Linked DNA regions of Drosophila melanogaster. The gene in region 1 interacts genetically with each later gene. Each region holds a gene or a part of one and is shown in the gene's direction. Other genes may lie near its edges.

Evidence for each region.
Region 2: of rdgB (region 1) and inaC, changing one suppresses a phenotype caused by changing the other (phenotypic suppression), as found in Drosophila melanogaster (one study listed by BioGRID).
Region 3: of rdgB (region 1) and Pld, changing one suppresses a phenotype caused by changing the other (phenotypic suppression), as found in Drosophila melanogaster (one study listed by BioGRID).

Annotation. Positions count from the first base shown.
Region 1 is NC_004354.4:13,760,750-13,766,295, forward strand, and holds the start of rdgB (retinal degeneration B), read left to right. Parts: upstream 1-2,002; 5' UTR 2,003-2,196; intron 2,197-2,319; exon of another isoform or gene 2,320-2,362; intron 2,363-5,546. Other genes in the region: Yp3 (yolk protein 3), read left to right, coding at 1-249. UniProt on the Drosophila melanogaster protein: Catalyzes the transfer of phosphatidylinositol (PI) and phosphatidic acid (PA) between membranes. May control phosphatidylinositol concentration in transport vesicles from the subrhabdomeric cisternae (SRC) to the rhabdomere.
Region 2 is NT_033778.4:16,896,537-16,902,556, forward strand, and holds inaC (inactivation no afterpotential C), read left to right. Parts: upstream 1-1,998; 5' UTR 1,999-2,108; coding exon 2,109-2,386; intron 2,387-2,547; coding exon 2,548-2,579; intron 2,580-2,633; coding exon 2,634-2,828; intron 2,829-2,888; coding exon 2,889-3,017; intron 3,018-3,078; coding exon 3,079-3,235; intron 3,236-3,295; coding exon 3,296-3,524; intron 3,525-3,578; coding exon 3,579-3,976; intron 3,977-4,039; coding exon 4,040-4,241; intron 4,242-4,300; coding exon 4,301-4,489; intron 4,490-4,546; coding exon 4,547-4,687; intron 4,688-4,748; coding exon 4,749-4,901; 3' UTR 4,902-5,039; downstream 5,040-6,020. UniProt on the Drosophila melanogaster protein: This is a calcium-activated, phospholipid-dependent, serine- and threonine-specific enzyme. This isozyme is a negative regulator of the visual transduction cascade and has been shown to be required for photoreceptor cell inactivation and light adaptation.
Region 3 is NT_033778.4:6,243,970-6,248,992, forward strand, and holds the start of Pld (phospholipase D), read left to right. Parts: upstream 1-1,542; 5' UTR 1,543-1,608; intron 1,609-2,294; 5' UTR 2,295-2,464; coding exon 2,465-2,615; intron 2,616-5,023.

The DNA of each region.
Region 1 (5,546 bases):
GCCACCCGTTACTTTGCCGAGTCTGTGCGTCCCGGTAGCGAGCGCAATTTCCCCGCCGTTCCGGCCAACTCGCTGAAGCAGTACAAGGAGCAGGATGGCTTTGGCAAGCGCGCCTACATGGGTCTCCAGATCGACTACGATCTGCGCGGTGACTACATCTTGGAGGTCAACGCCAAGAGCCCCTTCGGTCAGCGCAGCCCTGCCCACAAGCAGGCCGCCTACCATGGCATGCACCACGCCCAGAACTAGAGCGCCCATGGCCACGCCCCCTGGTTACCAGGGACGTTCGATCGTCACGCACTTTCTGATAATCAGAAAATAAAAACCCGGAATGCGTAGTTTAGCTTAGAAGTTTCATCAAACAATCAAAAAAGAAAAATCTATAAAATCCCATAAAAATAAAAGCTGCAAATTTTCGAAAAGTCAAGTTTTTTAATAGCAATAGCAATGGTTATTCTGGATTGGATTCTAACTTTTATGGTATTAAAAAACACACACAAGAATTTGCTGGGCACATTTTTAGGCACCCCTTCTGAAGTAAATAGAAAAATTTCCGAAAATATACATATTTAACATAGTAAATCGGCCAAACAACTTAAATGAGCTAATAATAAAAAGATAAATGCATATATCACAGGTGATCTTAAGCAGATGCTTAACCAAAAAACAACACGATAAATAAAGCAAACAAAAAGTGCCTAAAATACAATTATGATACCTAATGAAAGGTACACGAAAGAAAATGTAGATAATAAATAAACTGAAAAGAAATTAGGAATAACTCATAAAAATCAAAATTTAGAAAACTGTGCAGCTTGGTATTTACTAGCACCCTAGATGCTTAACAGGATTGCGAAGTTGGGATGGAAATACGCACAAGGAGATGGATGCATTGAGTGGGCGGAAGTGAGAGTGAGGCAACTAGTGTCCGTTGCCATTTGATGTGCACTCAATTAAAATTTGCATTCGGTTTATCGTTAGTGACTACTCGTTCAAAAATCACTGGGCAACCTGTGTAAACTCAATTGTTCCTTACAGTTTTGGGACATGCGCGGTGTAAATGTCAAAGTTGAACTTTATCAAATGCAATAGACAAACTAGAAAGGGCAGCGAAAACAGCAGAGTCGAAAATAGAGCGAGATAGGGAGCTGGAGTGACAGGAGCGGAATGACAACAGTTGGCGTCTTTTGTTTGTGCATGTCGTGACATGTTTGCTTTGACTCTGACCGAACGGAATGCGCCGTTAAGCTTATCTTCTTACCGTACACTTAGAGCGTCTTCTCTCTCTCTCTCTCTCACTATTTGCCCTTCAGCGTTTGTTCTTCTTTTTGGGCTTGGCAAGCTCTTGCTCTCGCTGCTTTTCTCCAGAAGAGAGCGCACAAGGACGCCGGGACGTTGGCATTTTGTGGGGTTCTGGCCATCCGAGTTTCTTGCAGAAATTACTGTATATTATTCATTGGCCGATATGCATAAATCCAATTTACGAAACCCCCCCTTTTCAGCCTAGCCAGCTGAGTGTCCCCGCAAAAGGAGAGAAAGGCAAAGAGAGTGAGAGTGACGCTTTCTCGCGCGCTTTTGTTGCGCACAAATAAAGTAAGGGGTTTTCCGCGAATCGTCAGTTGAGAATTGAGAACTGAACTGACCGTTTTCAGAAACGGTGGCGTTTTAACTTTTTTGTTATTTAATTAGTCCTTAAATAGTCCTTTTCTAAAATGTACTTAAAACATGTATGTATATGTAATGTAGAAATAGTTTTTTAATATCTAAGCAAAAATTATCCAGATTGCAAATATGTACATACATACATATGTATTTATGTATATACTAGTATACTTTTTATGAGTCTGGCGATTTTGCGGTGATACTCATTTTCGGAACGCCTCGCTCTCTCCGCTCATTTCTCTTGGCTTTGCTTTTGCTTTAGCTTCGTTTGCTTTTCGGCGTTCGTTCAGTTCAGCGTTCGGCGTTCCGTTCAGTTCATTTCGGTTTGGTTCATCTTACTTCAGTTCGGAATCAAACGCGAGCCGAGTCGCAATCGCAACTTTGCCGCCGCGCAGCGCACGCTGTTTTTTTTTCAGTGTGTACGTTTTGATTGCAAAAAGAAATAAGCAAACGCAAGGCAAGCAGCAACAACGCTGAAAACATTTTTCATCTGCGGCCTGGAAAAGCGCCCCGAAGAAAATGAATAGATAAATTGTATTAATCGCCCAATCGAGTCAGCATATATCCACTGTATATTTATATTTTGTTGTGCGTTGTTCGTTGTTTTTTTTTCTCCTTTGCGCTTTGGACCTTACTCTTTTGTTGTTAATTGTCCAGCTGCCCGCAATGATAATAATGTGAGTTGGCCCGCCGAAAGTTGGTACGTTTTCCACTGCTGCTCTTTTTTCACCTTTGTTTGTAACAAATGGAATAGTTTACAACAAAATTCGTAAAATTAGTTAAGGATACTTCGGTTGTCGTGTGTGTGTGTGTGTGGGTGGCAGCTGCGTAAATGCGTAAGCTGCGTCGCGTTTGTGTAAGTGTGTGTGTGTTGGCTGTGGCCAGGTCTCAAGGTCCCGTTAGCTCTCTCCCACCGCTCTTCCTGTTTCACGCTTTTGCTCTCTTTTACAAACAACAACAAGTCTGTGATAAGAATTTTCCATGCGTAATTTTCACGTAAAGCTTTGTTTTGTTATGTTTGGTACTTTTGCACTTTTATAAATCGGATAAAGTTTATTACAGTTCAGCGTTTTAAAAAGTCTTTTATAGCCATCTTAATGATTGATTTTTTAAAGTATTTTTTAAGGAATTTAAGTCAAATTAAAAATAAAAATATTAATTTATAACTATTTCTTTAAAAAAATGCTTTAATCTAAAAATGATAAATTTCTTAAGAATAATATTGTTAGAAATGTTTTCATTATGAGTTCATAAAAAATAACTTTTTTTGGTTAATGTTCCATAAATAATTTTTTACACATTTCATTATACTAAAAAAATAGGAACTTAACTCAGATGAAAAATAAAAATATTTATTCGAAAGCACTGCTCTGGAATTTATAACCATTGGTTTTTGAAAAAAAGTCTTTAATCTTAGAAATTATGAATTTCCTATGATTAATATTTTTAGGAATGTACATTTTTCATAAATGAGTCTATAAAAGATATCTTTGTACAAAATAAATATTATTATATAGGCCCTTTTTGAGATGAACCCAAGAAATACGTTTGTTGTGTTCTTATTTTTGCTGCTTATTGTATTTATAAATTATTAATAAGCACAAAGCGTGCCACAGGTGTGCACGAAGGAGTGAGCGAGACGGGGAGAGTGGGTGAGAGCCAAAGAGAGAGTACGTGACCTTTTTTTCTTGCTCTTTTCCGTCTAATTTAGCTCACTAAACTTGAGACTCGGATTTAATAGGCTTTCTTTCAACCTTTGCTTTCTTTGCATCCCAACCCGTCTATTTCTGTCTCTGTCTCGCGTTCATTTATTTCCGCTTGAGTGCGTTTTCTGTTGTTGTTGCTTTTCTTCGTTTTATTACCTTTTTTTGCACATTTTTCTACACCTTTTTTTTTATTGTATTGCTTGGTCAATTACCATGGCAATTTATTTATCAGTTTGGCGTTTTTGATGTTGCAACAATTGCGCAAATTTATTTCCTCTATTTTCACTATTTGAGCTTCTGTCTGGCAGACTTAATAACAAAAATGGTTTTGTGCATAAAAGCGTGGAATTTTACCCATCTTCATCTTATGATTTTACACGGAGAGAAAAGTATATCAAGCAATCTTAAAAATAATTTAAATATCAGAGTGGACATGGATAAAATGTGCATTGTGTTAATATATTTTAATAATATTAATGAATGAAAATATTTGTGATATTGCTCTTACTTTTCTCCGTGTGCATACCCTTGCTTTACCCTTTGGTCACATCATAAACAAAAATTTTTTAAATGACAAAATACATCATAAACAACCACATTGAAGGCTACGTGCACTTTGGCCGGATCTTTTATAGCCAGCACATGTGTGCGTTTGTAATTTGTTTATTGATGCACAGTGGGCCGCTTTTTCATCTCCGGGCTGCTATATCATTTAAAAAAAAAGGTGTTTTCTAGTCTAGATTTCTCGAATGCCCCCCGCCAAATAAGAAGACTTTAAGCGAATCGTAAATAATGTCCATTTTTTTATAAGCCCCATAAAGGAAGCTCCATTGTAATAAATCTTATCGCTGCAAAGTTTTTTCTCATCGTGAATATTAACATTTCTTATCACTTTTAACTGCAGGTGCTTTCTTCTTATATGAACTTTACTTGTGTTCTCTAAAAGTCGTAAAAATGTACATACATATGAATATTAAATTGGGAAAAGTAATTGCAGTTGTAAACAAAACCTAGCATTCTTCATATAGTGCTAACTGCACATTGTTACTTTCGCTAGCTTAACAGAAATTTTTTACACCAAAAAAGTTGTTTCACAACTTTAAAACAGTGGAAGATACATGTTTTCGTTATGAAATTATCTGTTTTTCTTATATATAGGACACACTTTCGATAACCTTTGACCCAGTGTAGCAAAGAAAATCTGTTGGCGCATTTTCTGTGTCACAAAATGTAATTATGCTAAGGAGGCAAAAAAAAAAAACAGAAAAATGGTGATGTGTGGAGGCTAACGGGGGGTGGAGAGTGCTAGGCGAAAAGGGGGCGTGGCATGGCAGGGGGAAGGGGGCCTAAAGCGGTGGCCATATTGTTGGGGCTTACGATTCGTTACGGCCTGCCATGTAACTGCCATGACATAAACATGTGCATGTCTGTGTTCGTTTCCCCTTCCCCCACTGCCCGCTGTGCCCAATAATTATTGATTGACGGCCCTCCTTTATTGTGCCTCTTATTTTAGCATCTAGAACATCCCGCCCCCTCCCCCATTTCCCCAACAATGTCTATCCAGATCTTATTAGGATCAAACCATATATAACTACAAACTAATGAAACTATGCCATAATATAATTACATATATCAAAAGCTTCTTTTTAGTAATTTCATATAGAATGAATGTATTGTATTATGTATTAGATATTCTGTAGCTTGTTTTTCTTAATCTCATAGTAAATAGGGAAATCTAAACTTTTGCGCAACATGGTTGAGTGTTGAGTTTGCATGCTAAGTGCCACTTACATCAATTTACAAAATCCCCATTCCCCCCTTTTCGACCAACACAAAAGCTCCAATTAAAAAGTAAGCTCCTTTGGGATCCATAAATTGGATGGGGGAATACAATAGCACTTAATGAGGAGCTGGACAAATTTGTGGTCGAGATAAATACGCGATAAGATCTAAACAGATTAGGAGTCTAATGAAGGTCATTAGCAATGGAAGTTCACAGCTTGTAAGCACAGTGGGGCTACGTAGTTAAGAGGTTTAATTGTAGTTTAAGAATATATATATGCTATATGCCCAAGAATATTCTATTATATTTGATAATATAAATATATAGATATATAGATATACTGACAAATTTCAAGTAGCTTAGATTTTAACTTAACGTTCTGTGCGGAAATATTC
Region 2 (6,020 bases), on another chromosome or scaffold:
TGCCATGGTCCAAAGGTCATTATACAGCTAGTAACTCACGACAGGTGCGCTGCAGATCAATAGGTGTTAAGGGCGCAGGTCAAAAACAAGACGGTCGGCTAACAAGTAGCCAAGCGGAATTGCCAAATGTTGAAATGGCGAACAACAGAATAAGGAAAACAACAAAGCCTTGGCCAAAAGCAAACGAAGCCAGAGAAAAGTAATGCAAAGTAAAGTCAGAGTAAATAACCTGGAAGTAAAGCTAAACAAAAATGTGTTATACGCTGAGAGGCGGCTCTCTGGCTCTTTGCGGCTTGGCCTGCTTTTGTGAAATGGCCAAGAGGGAAAAATGGAGGGGAAAATTGTTTGGCGACGCCATGGAAATGATGACGTAAATTGAAAGCCAAAGCTGCCACGGCAACGAAATCTATTTGCAATTCCCTCTGCTCGCCGAAACCCCCTTGTCAATGCCTTTCAACCGACAGGTGTGCAGTTCTGTAGTTCTGGGCAATCTGCGAGTGCATATTTGTCGACTCACTGAGTGCACTTCTGAGATACAGATACGCGTGCCGCTGCAGATACTTAGATACTTTGACTTGGACCTGCTTTAATGGCATTTTTCCCCGACAAAGGTCCTACATTTCCGCTTTAATGCATTTTCCAACCCATTTCATCGCTGCTTTCGGTAGCGTTTTTAGTTGTTTCAGCTTGGATTTCAGCTAACCGCTTTTATTTTGTATTTTGTTTGCCTTGCCAGCCAGCGTGTCCTTCTGTGTCCTGTGTGCACTTTGTGCTCAATTCTGCGTTTTCTATTTCTATTTTTAGCCCTGCACTGAAAGCCAGCTGGCTTGCAGGGGCGGCGCTTAAATGGGGGGTTCTTTCACGGAAAACGTGCCCTGCCAGCAATTGCATAAATTAATCAAAACTGCCACACAGTATAAATACTCAATCGACAATAGTCACACATACACACACACACACACATAGAAGCTTTCGCACATCACCATTTTCCGAAACCCCTTCGCCCACTTTTCCAATTTTATTGCATTGACGTCACAGCTGCAGTTGTCCGGAGCAATGGCTCCGATGATGATTATGTTTGTCTTCTGGCCAGGTAAGCACCTTCTTGACCTTTCCCAAGCTGTTTACACTTATCGCTGGTAAGGGCCCAAAGACGAGAGTTCTTGGCTTTCACTCTTCGGTCCTCCGTTCGATTGACGGGACGTCGTTGAGTGCTTTTTCCTGGGGGACAATTGCGATGGGGGCTAACTGCCGAACTAACTGAATCAGCGTGGATAAGTGCTGATTACCCAGGCATAGAGCAAATGGTTGCATGGCAACTTGTGTAAGATCTATAGGGACTAGTAGTAAGGATGCTTTGGACATGACATTCATTGTTATGAAATGGTTAAAAGCATTAAATTTGACTTTTAAAATGCGCACACATATATTAAGTACCTAGAAATTGACAGAAATTAATCATACAAAGTCTCAAATATTACACAATTGTTTAACACCGATTTACGCTAACAAAGGCACAATTTAATTGTGGTAAATAGTTCCACAAATGTCCGATTTTAAATAATTAAAAAAACATGCAATAAAGAGGCTATAAAATATTATTCACTTTGATATGTGCATAATTAACGTTTAATATTCGTGTGTTTACTCACACATATTTTATTTTCTTTTAGCTGCTTTACATGTGCAGAAATAATTTTAAATCAGAAGGGTATTTTTCTGAAACATTTCTCTTATGGTTTTTTTTTGATATGTATGAGCAGTATTATGTTGTATTTATATTACATTTTTTATTCAGTCTACACAAATATAATGAGATATGGATAAGGAGGTTTCTATAAGCTAGGAACAAATACATATTTGGAAAATTTATGAATGAAATTACGTCTTATGCACTATTGCATAAGTCCAAACTGTCGCCCGTTTGCATCACTCTGTGTCATTTTCTTGCCTTCAACTTTGTGTGTGCACTTTGTTGGCTTCCAAGTTGCTTCTTTTAGGGTCTTCACCTGACCGACCGGGTCAGTTTCTAGACGGGCTTGAAACCGTACGGTCTGAGTCAGCTTTTTCTCTTCACTAGCTATCCAATTCCCTGACATTATCTTTTAATGGCTGCGGCTGCTGTTGCCACACCGGGGGCCACTGTGCTCCCTCCCTCGGTGCCCAGTGCCGCTCCAGGGGCCAAGGCTCCAGCGGCTGGAGCTGGCAAAGGTCCAGGAAATCTACTGGAGATCACTGGCGAAGCAAATATCGTCAACTATATGAAGAATCGTCTAAGGAAGGGTGCGATGAAGCGAAAGGGTCTCGAAATGGTCAATGGTCATCGTTTCGGAGTTAGATTCTTTAAGAATCCAACCTACTGCGGTCATTGCAAGGATTTCATCTGGTGAGAAATTTCGTTTTCGGTTTTTGCTGGCATCTCAGCGTTCCCATCGTTAATTTAATTAGTGCCTTCGTTGCTGACACACTTTTCGTTGTTTTTTCTATATTTTTTTCGCTGTTCTTCCGTTTCGCATTGTTGCATTCGCGGATTCGTGCCGGGATTAGGGGCTTTGGCAAGCAAGGTTTTCAGTGCGAGGGTAGGTAGAAATGTTCACAATTTAAAAAATCTTTTAAAATATTTGCATACGCAGAATGCCGCTTCAACATTCACCAGAAGTGCTGTAAATTTGTGGTGTTCAAATGTCCTGGCAAGGACACGGACTTCGATGCCGACTGCGCTAAGGTGAAGCACGGCTGGATTTCCACCACCTACACCACACCGACATTCTGCGACGAGTGCGGACTGCTGCTCCATGGAGTCGCCCATCAGGGCGTCAAGTGCGAGAGTAAATTCCTGAATAAACTCGAGTCCTATTGCTTTCAAGCTATTAACCCAAATATTTCAGATTGCAACCTAAATGTGCATCACGCCTGCCAGGAGACAGTGCCACCGATGTGTGGTGCGGACATCAGCGAGGTGAGGGGTAAACTACTGCTATACGTCGAGCTTAAGGGCAATAACTTGAAAGTTGATAGTAAGTTATTACTTAAAGTTTATATGCCCATATAAAGATTAATGTTTCTTTCATACTGCAGTTAAGGAGGCAGCTAACCTCATTCCCATGGATACCAACGGGTTTAGCGATCCCTATATTGCAGTGCAAATGCATCCGGACCGTTCGGGGCGCACCAAAAAGAAGACCAAGACCATTCAGAAAAACCTCAATCCAGTGTTCAACGAGACTTTTACTTTGTAATAGTTGAAAACTAATCCTCTAAATAGACCTCTTTACCATATTTTCTTTAATCCTAGTGAGTTGCAGCCGCAGGACCGTGACAAGCGTTTGCTCATCGAGGTTTGGGATTGGGATCGAACTTCTCGCAATGATTTCATGGGATCGTTCTCGTTCAGCCTGGAGGAACTGCAAAAGGAGCCAGTTGATGGCTGGTATAAGTTTCTGTCGCAAGTGGAGGGTGAACATTATAACATACCCTGTGTGGATGCCTTTAATGATATAGCTCGCTTAAGGGATGAAGTTAGGGTAAGCGGATGTCCTCACCAAGTTTGCCACATATTTAATATTCCTGATTTTCAGCACGATCGTCGTCCGAATGAAAAGCGTCGCATGGACAACAAGGATATGCCGCATAATATGAGCAAACGCGATATGATTCGAGCTGCTGATTTCAACTTTGTTAAAGTTATTGGCAAGGGATCCTTTGGCAAAGTCCTGCTGGCCGAGCGTCGTGGCACGGATGAGCTGTATGCCGTGAAGGTCCTGCGAAAGGATGTCATTATCCAAACGGACGATATGGAGCTGCCAATGAATGAGAAGAAAATTCTAGCCCTATCCGGACGTCCTCCTTTCCTCGTCTCCATGCACTCATGTTTCCAGACTATGGACCGATTATTCTTCGTAATGGAGTACTGTAAGGGTGGAGATCTTATGTACCATATGCAGCAGTATGGAAGGTTCAAGGAGTCTGTGGCTATGTGAGTACAAATATTTATATTCAAGTACCATATTTTGAAATCTTCTATATATTATGTGCTTAGTTTTTACGCTGTGGAAGTGGCTATTGCTCTGTTTTTCCTCCACGAGCGTGATATTATCTATAGAGATCTAAAGCTGGACAACATTTTGCTGGATGGTGAGGGGCATGTAAAGCTGGTCGACTTTGGATTGAGCAAAGAGGGCGTTACCGAGCGGCAGACCACACGAACCTTTTGTGGTACTCCAAATTATATGGCTCCCGAAGTAAGTAAATCAGCCGAAAAAAATAAGTGTAAAAATAATCAGCTTAAAAATAATTTAAGATTGTTAGCTACGATCCGTATTCCATCGCCGCTGATTGGTGGTCTTTTGGTGTATTGCTTTTCGAATTCATGGCAGGTCAGGCTCCATTCGAAGGAGATGATGAAACTACTGTCTTTAGGAACATAAAGGACAAGAAGGCGGTGTTTCCAAAGCATTTCAGCGTGGAGGCCATGGATATAATAACGAGCGTAAGTGTTGGATTTCAAAAACATATGAATCTAATGGTATAGATTTGTATTCCAAAGTTCCTGACCAAAAAGCCCAACAATAGATTGGGTGCAGGCCGCTATGCCAGACAGGAGATTACCACGCATCCTTTCTTCCGGAATGTGGACTGGGATAAGGCAGAGGCATGCGAAATGGAGCCACCTATTAAGCCAATGATTGTAAGCTAAAACAGGAGCCCCACTAGGAAATCATTTTATTGTAATCTTGGGTACATTTCAGAAACATCGCAAGGATATAAGCAACTTTGATGATGCCTTTACCAAGGAGAAGACGGACTTAACTCCAACGGACAAGCTTTTTATGATGAATTTGGACCAGAACGATTTTATCGGATTTTCTTTCATGAATCCCGAGTTTATAACCATCATTTAAAATGGTCTAAAAAAAAGCTTTGAGAAAAGTTTATAGGCTTCTTCGAAAAACTAGGCTTTTGCAAGTTAATTTACCGAAATTTATTTATTGTATCCTTCGCTAAAAGCCATCTAAATGTTCATTAAAGCTTTAACGCTTAAAGCTCTGATATTTAGTGGGTGGATTTTTCTTTTGGCTTTCTCTCTTTTAAGAGACAGCTTTTCACCACTAACATTAACATTTCCTCTGAAGCCCAGATAGTAAAAGAAAACAGAGAAAGTTCCGGACCAGCAGCTGATTGCTTTCTCTTTCTCTCTTTTCGGAAGGGGAAATCCTTTTGTGGAAACTCACCACTCGAGAGCACCTGAATTAGTTACGCATACGCCGCGTGTGCTCCACTCAAGGAAACCCTGACAGGAAGTTTCAAGATTGCCAGTGGGCTAACTAGCCAACTTTGGTTAAAATCTAAACTCATCAACAGGCTTGAAAGTTTTTAGTTATGTATGTCGAATTTCAAAGTTGCTCACAAGGCCACAACTTATTGCCGTTCATGTGGGTATGATGAAAATTCTTCGAACATTTTTGCCCAAATCCATCTTGCGGGTCGAGCGTAAAATTCAACGGGGTGAAAAGCGGTTTAACGGGTCGCCAAATAGTTTTCCTGTGCCAGGGCAAATATGTCTTATGACACATTTTAATATGAAATTTCACTACCGGGAATTCCCCGGATATTTTTAATTTGGGGCGCTCATCTAATCGACTGTCAAAAGCATTTCAAGGCGAATGCTATTTTCCGCTGCCCTGGTTCTAAATGAATTTCCACGATTTGCAGCTTCCCTTTTCGAAGGCAACATCCTGCTCAGAACTGTTTGCACTCTATTAGCGGCAATTTGCGGGTTTACGTGCACTTTTCACGGCTTTTAGACACGTTCCACTGTCTCTGGCCGGTTGCGCCGGTTGCAGAGTGCAGTCGACGATGTCCTTGTGCAGCGTTTCCTTTATCCATCCCCAATCAGCGCTTTCCACTTCCTGCCGTCGCCACCGCAACATGTGCCTTTGGGCTGCGCTCTTTGGTCTGTCGTTCGTTTCGTGTTGGCCCCGTTTGGAGTTTGGCTTAGGTATTAGGATGTACCAAAGTGC
Region 3 (5,023 bases), on another chromosome or scaffold:
TTTTAACGAATCTAGTATACCCTTTTACTCTACGAGTAACGGGTACAACAAAAATGCTATATTCGACTTATGTTCTGACAGTCAGATACCCGTTACTCAGTTAGTGGAAATGGTGAATTGATTGAGAAAATATTTAAACAAATTTGAAAGTATGGGCGTGGCAAAAAGTTTTTTGGTAAATCGATAAAAATTTACAAGTGTAATAAAAATATAAAAAAAAATTTGAAAACATTTTTTAAAAGTGCAAGGATGTGCAAGTTTTAGGCGGCTATAGGCATTAGGGGGGCTTGGCAACTTTCTATCTGTTATATTTTGGAAGTGACAAACAGGTTCTTTTTTCGTCTTGGGCAACTATTATAATATATTATATTATATACTAAATAACAAGTTTACAAAGAATTCACTACACTAGTAATAAAAGCTATCACTACTTCAAAGTTAGCAGACCCAATACGAAATTCAATGACCAAATAGAAGTCAGCACCAAAACTTAATTACTTAAAAATTTCTTTGAGTGACAGAAGGAAAACTTATATTAGGACAGTATATTTCTTAGATTAGATTTATGGAAGATAACAATGTACTAATTTCTGAATTGTTTAAATAATATCGAACGAGTCAACTACCTTATCCAAACCGCTACCGGAGCACTATCCCTTCGAAAGCTTAGTCTCATTTCTCAACAGCTAACTATAATTTGAAAATATTTAGAATAAAGTTATTGTTCGATAGGCTCATGTTTTTTTTGGGATGAAAGGGGATTTTTATTAAATGTCCGAAAATAATTTTTCGTCACTAAAGTTTGGTATGGTATTTGGCATGATGCGATCGTCAAATGTTTTTACCGAGTCACTAACTTGGACATAGTCTCTAAAACATACTTTTGATTTTATTTTTACTTAGTTCCGAACTAGGGGTCAATAATTTAAGTTATTGAAATTCAGTTGCCCCGCGTGGGACAATCTAATCGAATGCTAATTGTAATTCGGTTATTTATCCTGCGCACTTCATTGGGGTCGTACAAATAATGAGTTCTGATTACAGCGATTGTGCCCAAGTCTAGTGTTGCCGATAAGATAGCCGCAATAGATACTAAGCAGAGCTACATGCACACCCAAAGTGCCGTTGTGACTCATCGACTCCTCGACCATTGTTGCGGGTCCGACAATAGGCCTGTACTCGATCAGCGATTTTTAAAAGGTGTGTGAACCGCGCAGAAAGCTTTGGAAAGCTTGTAGAGTTTGTGCCAATGCCTCGGCAGAGAACTTGTTCTTATGGATTGTGGCTGACCTTGCCGTAGAAGCCCATTATGTTTTTATTTGCATAATACCTTAGAACAGTCGAAGGGTTTTCGGGCTATCGCATTTCAATATCTTGGAGATTATGAAAAGCTTTGCCAGCTGTTTTGAAGTTCGCAGCTGTGCTCTGGAAAACTCCCTCTCCATTACCAACTTGCGGCATTGACGCTCTCGCCGTAACCGTTACCCGTTAACCGTTTTGAGCTCGGCGACCTAAGCTTTTGGCTGCGTCGCGAGGTTTAGTTAATATTATTAACCGGAGTGACGGCCAAGTTGTCGCAACGTTTCTCGTGGATCGCAGATCGTGGCGGTAAGGCGAGCTTTTTGCCGGGGGCTCAAAGTGTGAGTGTGAGGTGTCTTCAGTTTGGTTTTTTTCACATAGCGTGGCATTACTCTCTTTGACGAATTCAATGCGACGTCGCGCTTTTTTCGGTTCTGCAACTTCCGTTAGTCGGTGGCTCGAAAAGTAAACAAAGTGCTGCATATCGCATGCAAACGTGACAATCTTTCAGACGCACTCCAACTTGATAACTTGATAAGCATCTGTGAGATGCAAAGATACAAGTTATAAAGCACCATCTCGCGAAGCCATGTAGCCGAGTGAAAAAAGTAAAATATGCGAAAGCAGAAAAACAAAAAATTTGTGCGTGTGTTAGTTGGCCATTGTGCAAACCTTTAATGAGCTGGAAGCGCCAAAAGCCAAATACCAACGAATATAAAGAGCACGCGAAACATTCAGTTATATTTGCAAAACTTGGTTTTGTGTTCACGCAAAGATAACGATATGCCATGATAAAAATTTAATTAATTATTTTTCAATGCAAGGGATATAAAAAAAGAAAAGTATACACGCTGTGACTGAATGAAACTTGGAAGGCAAAATTAATTTAAATGATTATTTTCGTGGCGCAAAGTATCCTTCCTTCCTCTACTTACCTCCACGGCAATAAGTCCATTATACACAAACGCGGTATTTATAATTTGTGGTTTAAACAGCCTCCGCAGGCCGCAGAACGGACATTTTTCACGTAGGCGAACTGTCGATGCGACTGAGAAATGCAAAAAACTGGAGCCGACAACAAAAGCTTCCTATCTATAAAGCCAAAAACCGATTGCCAAAAATAAAATAGAGCCCATTAAATAGCCCGCGTAAAGCGCACACAACAATGATGGCCACGTGCTTGGATACCAAAACCAGCAAGAACCATGAGGCCCAGCAACTGCAACTGCCCCGGCAGGCGTCATCGAACGCCAACTTGCCACATTTGCAGGTCCGACGTCATCGCCGCAGCATCTCACAGCTGATGGCCAGCATGGGTAATTTTTAGATCTGAAGATAAAGATATTTTCATTTGCATAGATTACTTGGTTCTCGTAGAGCGGCAATGAAATATGTGCGTCATCGTGAGATGAGATAAGAGTGATCATGTTTGCTAAGATATTTCAACATTTAGAACTGGTTGGCGGTAGGTGTTATGGTATGCGAAAGTGAAAAATCATTCTGCACCAAGTTTTCATTGTTTCAATTTGGGGCGATTTATAACAATGAGTGTGCAGTCGAACTTAAATAAGTGTAGTAGTGTAGGGAACCAAGAACTGATAACGATTTCATTGCCTAAATAATAAATTAGCCGAACAATACCCGTTTCCTTTGGATTATATAAGCCTTTACCCACTTATTGCTTCCATCAAATTGCGTGTTGGGCTCGGCCTAACGGTGCAATTAGTAAATGAATCATAATCAATTTTAAAATGCATGACGCGCTGCAAGTAACGATACATGCCGATATTGTTAAAAATATATCGAGCCTGATTTACATTTGTACTCATGCTCGATCATTGCAACAGGAAGTTTCGATTTCTTTGCAATTGTGTGTAGGTCAGGTGAAGCAAGCGATCGGTGGGTTTAATAACCTTTTCAGTAGACCGGCCACTGACAAAACCCGCTAAACAAAGGCGATTCAAAATGAACGCCCTCGGTCTGAGGACATTTTGATAACGGGCATTAAATGGAAAGCATTAACATTCCTGCAAAAAAAAATACAATGCATATAACAGAATTTTTCAGTTAAATCAAAAATGTTTAAGTAACATTTAATTCGGCAATTTAGAACTAGTTTTTTTTCACACCAATGCCCTATCAATAGGAATGGGATACCACAGCTTTATTCGCCACCATAAAAACGTATTATTGTGGTTGGAGTTTAGTTTTTTCAACGAAAAATTGTATATTCTTGAAACAAAATGGGGTTACTTCTATTCGTCTTATCTGTTAGTGATAAAAGTGTCAAGTTTTTTTTAAGTTAATTTGCTTGCCAAAACCAATGAGCCAAAACTAATGAGTTCGGCAAATCGCTTTGAAAGTGAAAAGGTGTTAAGAAATTATGGTTCTTTTATTGAGTACGGTGTTACACTTATTATACCGCCTTAAATTTCTGAAAACGGCGGCCGATGATTGAATAATAGGTCCAAGGTTTAATTATATCCACAATTCTCTTTAACGATTCGTCTAATCAAATACATTTTTGATGGACTTAAATTTTTTTATTTTTTCACTTTTATCACAAATCATGGAACTCGAGCATTAAAGAAGTTTTTGTTTTTGCCTCCAGAAGTTTTTGTTTGGTGACTTGAAGCTGATAGCAAAAAGAGCTTCGTGATAAGGCATATGCCAACACTCGTTATTTTCACTACCCATATAATAACGAATTCAATACCAAGAATTTATGCCTGCCAGTTGAACTTGCCCATAAGCTAGCCTGTGTATGTAAAAGTGTGGTAATAAAACTTTGATGGCACTTATTATGATAGGGTATCATGGAAGTGCCCCAATGTCATTGATCATTGACGGCCATTATCAAATTCTTTGCACTCGGCGTTCCAGTTTATTTTAATTATCACAAGTGATAAGGAGCAATCGTAAGTTATGACTCGTTCAATTGTTTGATAAATTAAACCAACAACTTCTGAAACAGTATCTTAACAAAAATTTTCAGGTGTCGCTACCTTTTTTTTTTAAAAAACCATTTTCGATTTTTGAATTTTAAATATTTCTATACGCGGTACTCAGCGGACAGAAATAAAGTTACTCTGTGAATAGGCGAATAGGACAGGACACCTGTTATTGTCTGCTAATCAAAGCACTTGACTAAGTACTGATTTATTCTGTTTATTACTATCGTCGATAACTGAACCTGTGCACTTTTGCAAAGCCGTGCCGCATCCATAAACTCACTTAACCGTCATTGGTTGGCCTACCTACTGTGCAGTATGGCCTAATCTATTTGTTGTGCCGTTTTATTTGGGCTTGCTATCTAAATGTCAATCAGCTAGAAGCTGATTGCTCAAGTATTTTGGGAAAACAGAACAGTAGAGATTAGGACAGGTATATGGCAAAACTGTATCTCCAAAAGATGCGTACGATACCTAATATTCTCCTCTGATTTGCGTTCTCAGCCAGTAGCACTGAGCTAAGGAAAATGCTATACTTACGGGCGAAGGAGGTGCGTCGTGTGTATTTAGCTTTAAATGTTTTCAAGGTTCGAGCAGGGTTCCTATGTCAAGTTCAGCCGACCATAATGCATTAAACTTAACTACACCACATGTCGTGAGCTCTGACCTTGAGCGAGCTTCTGTTTCGAATGTAGATAGCACTTGCTAATTATTACCATTTAATGGTTACAACACAGGCCGTTCAGCCGGGGGACATATCTCAAAAATGTTAT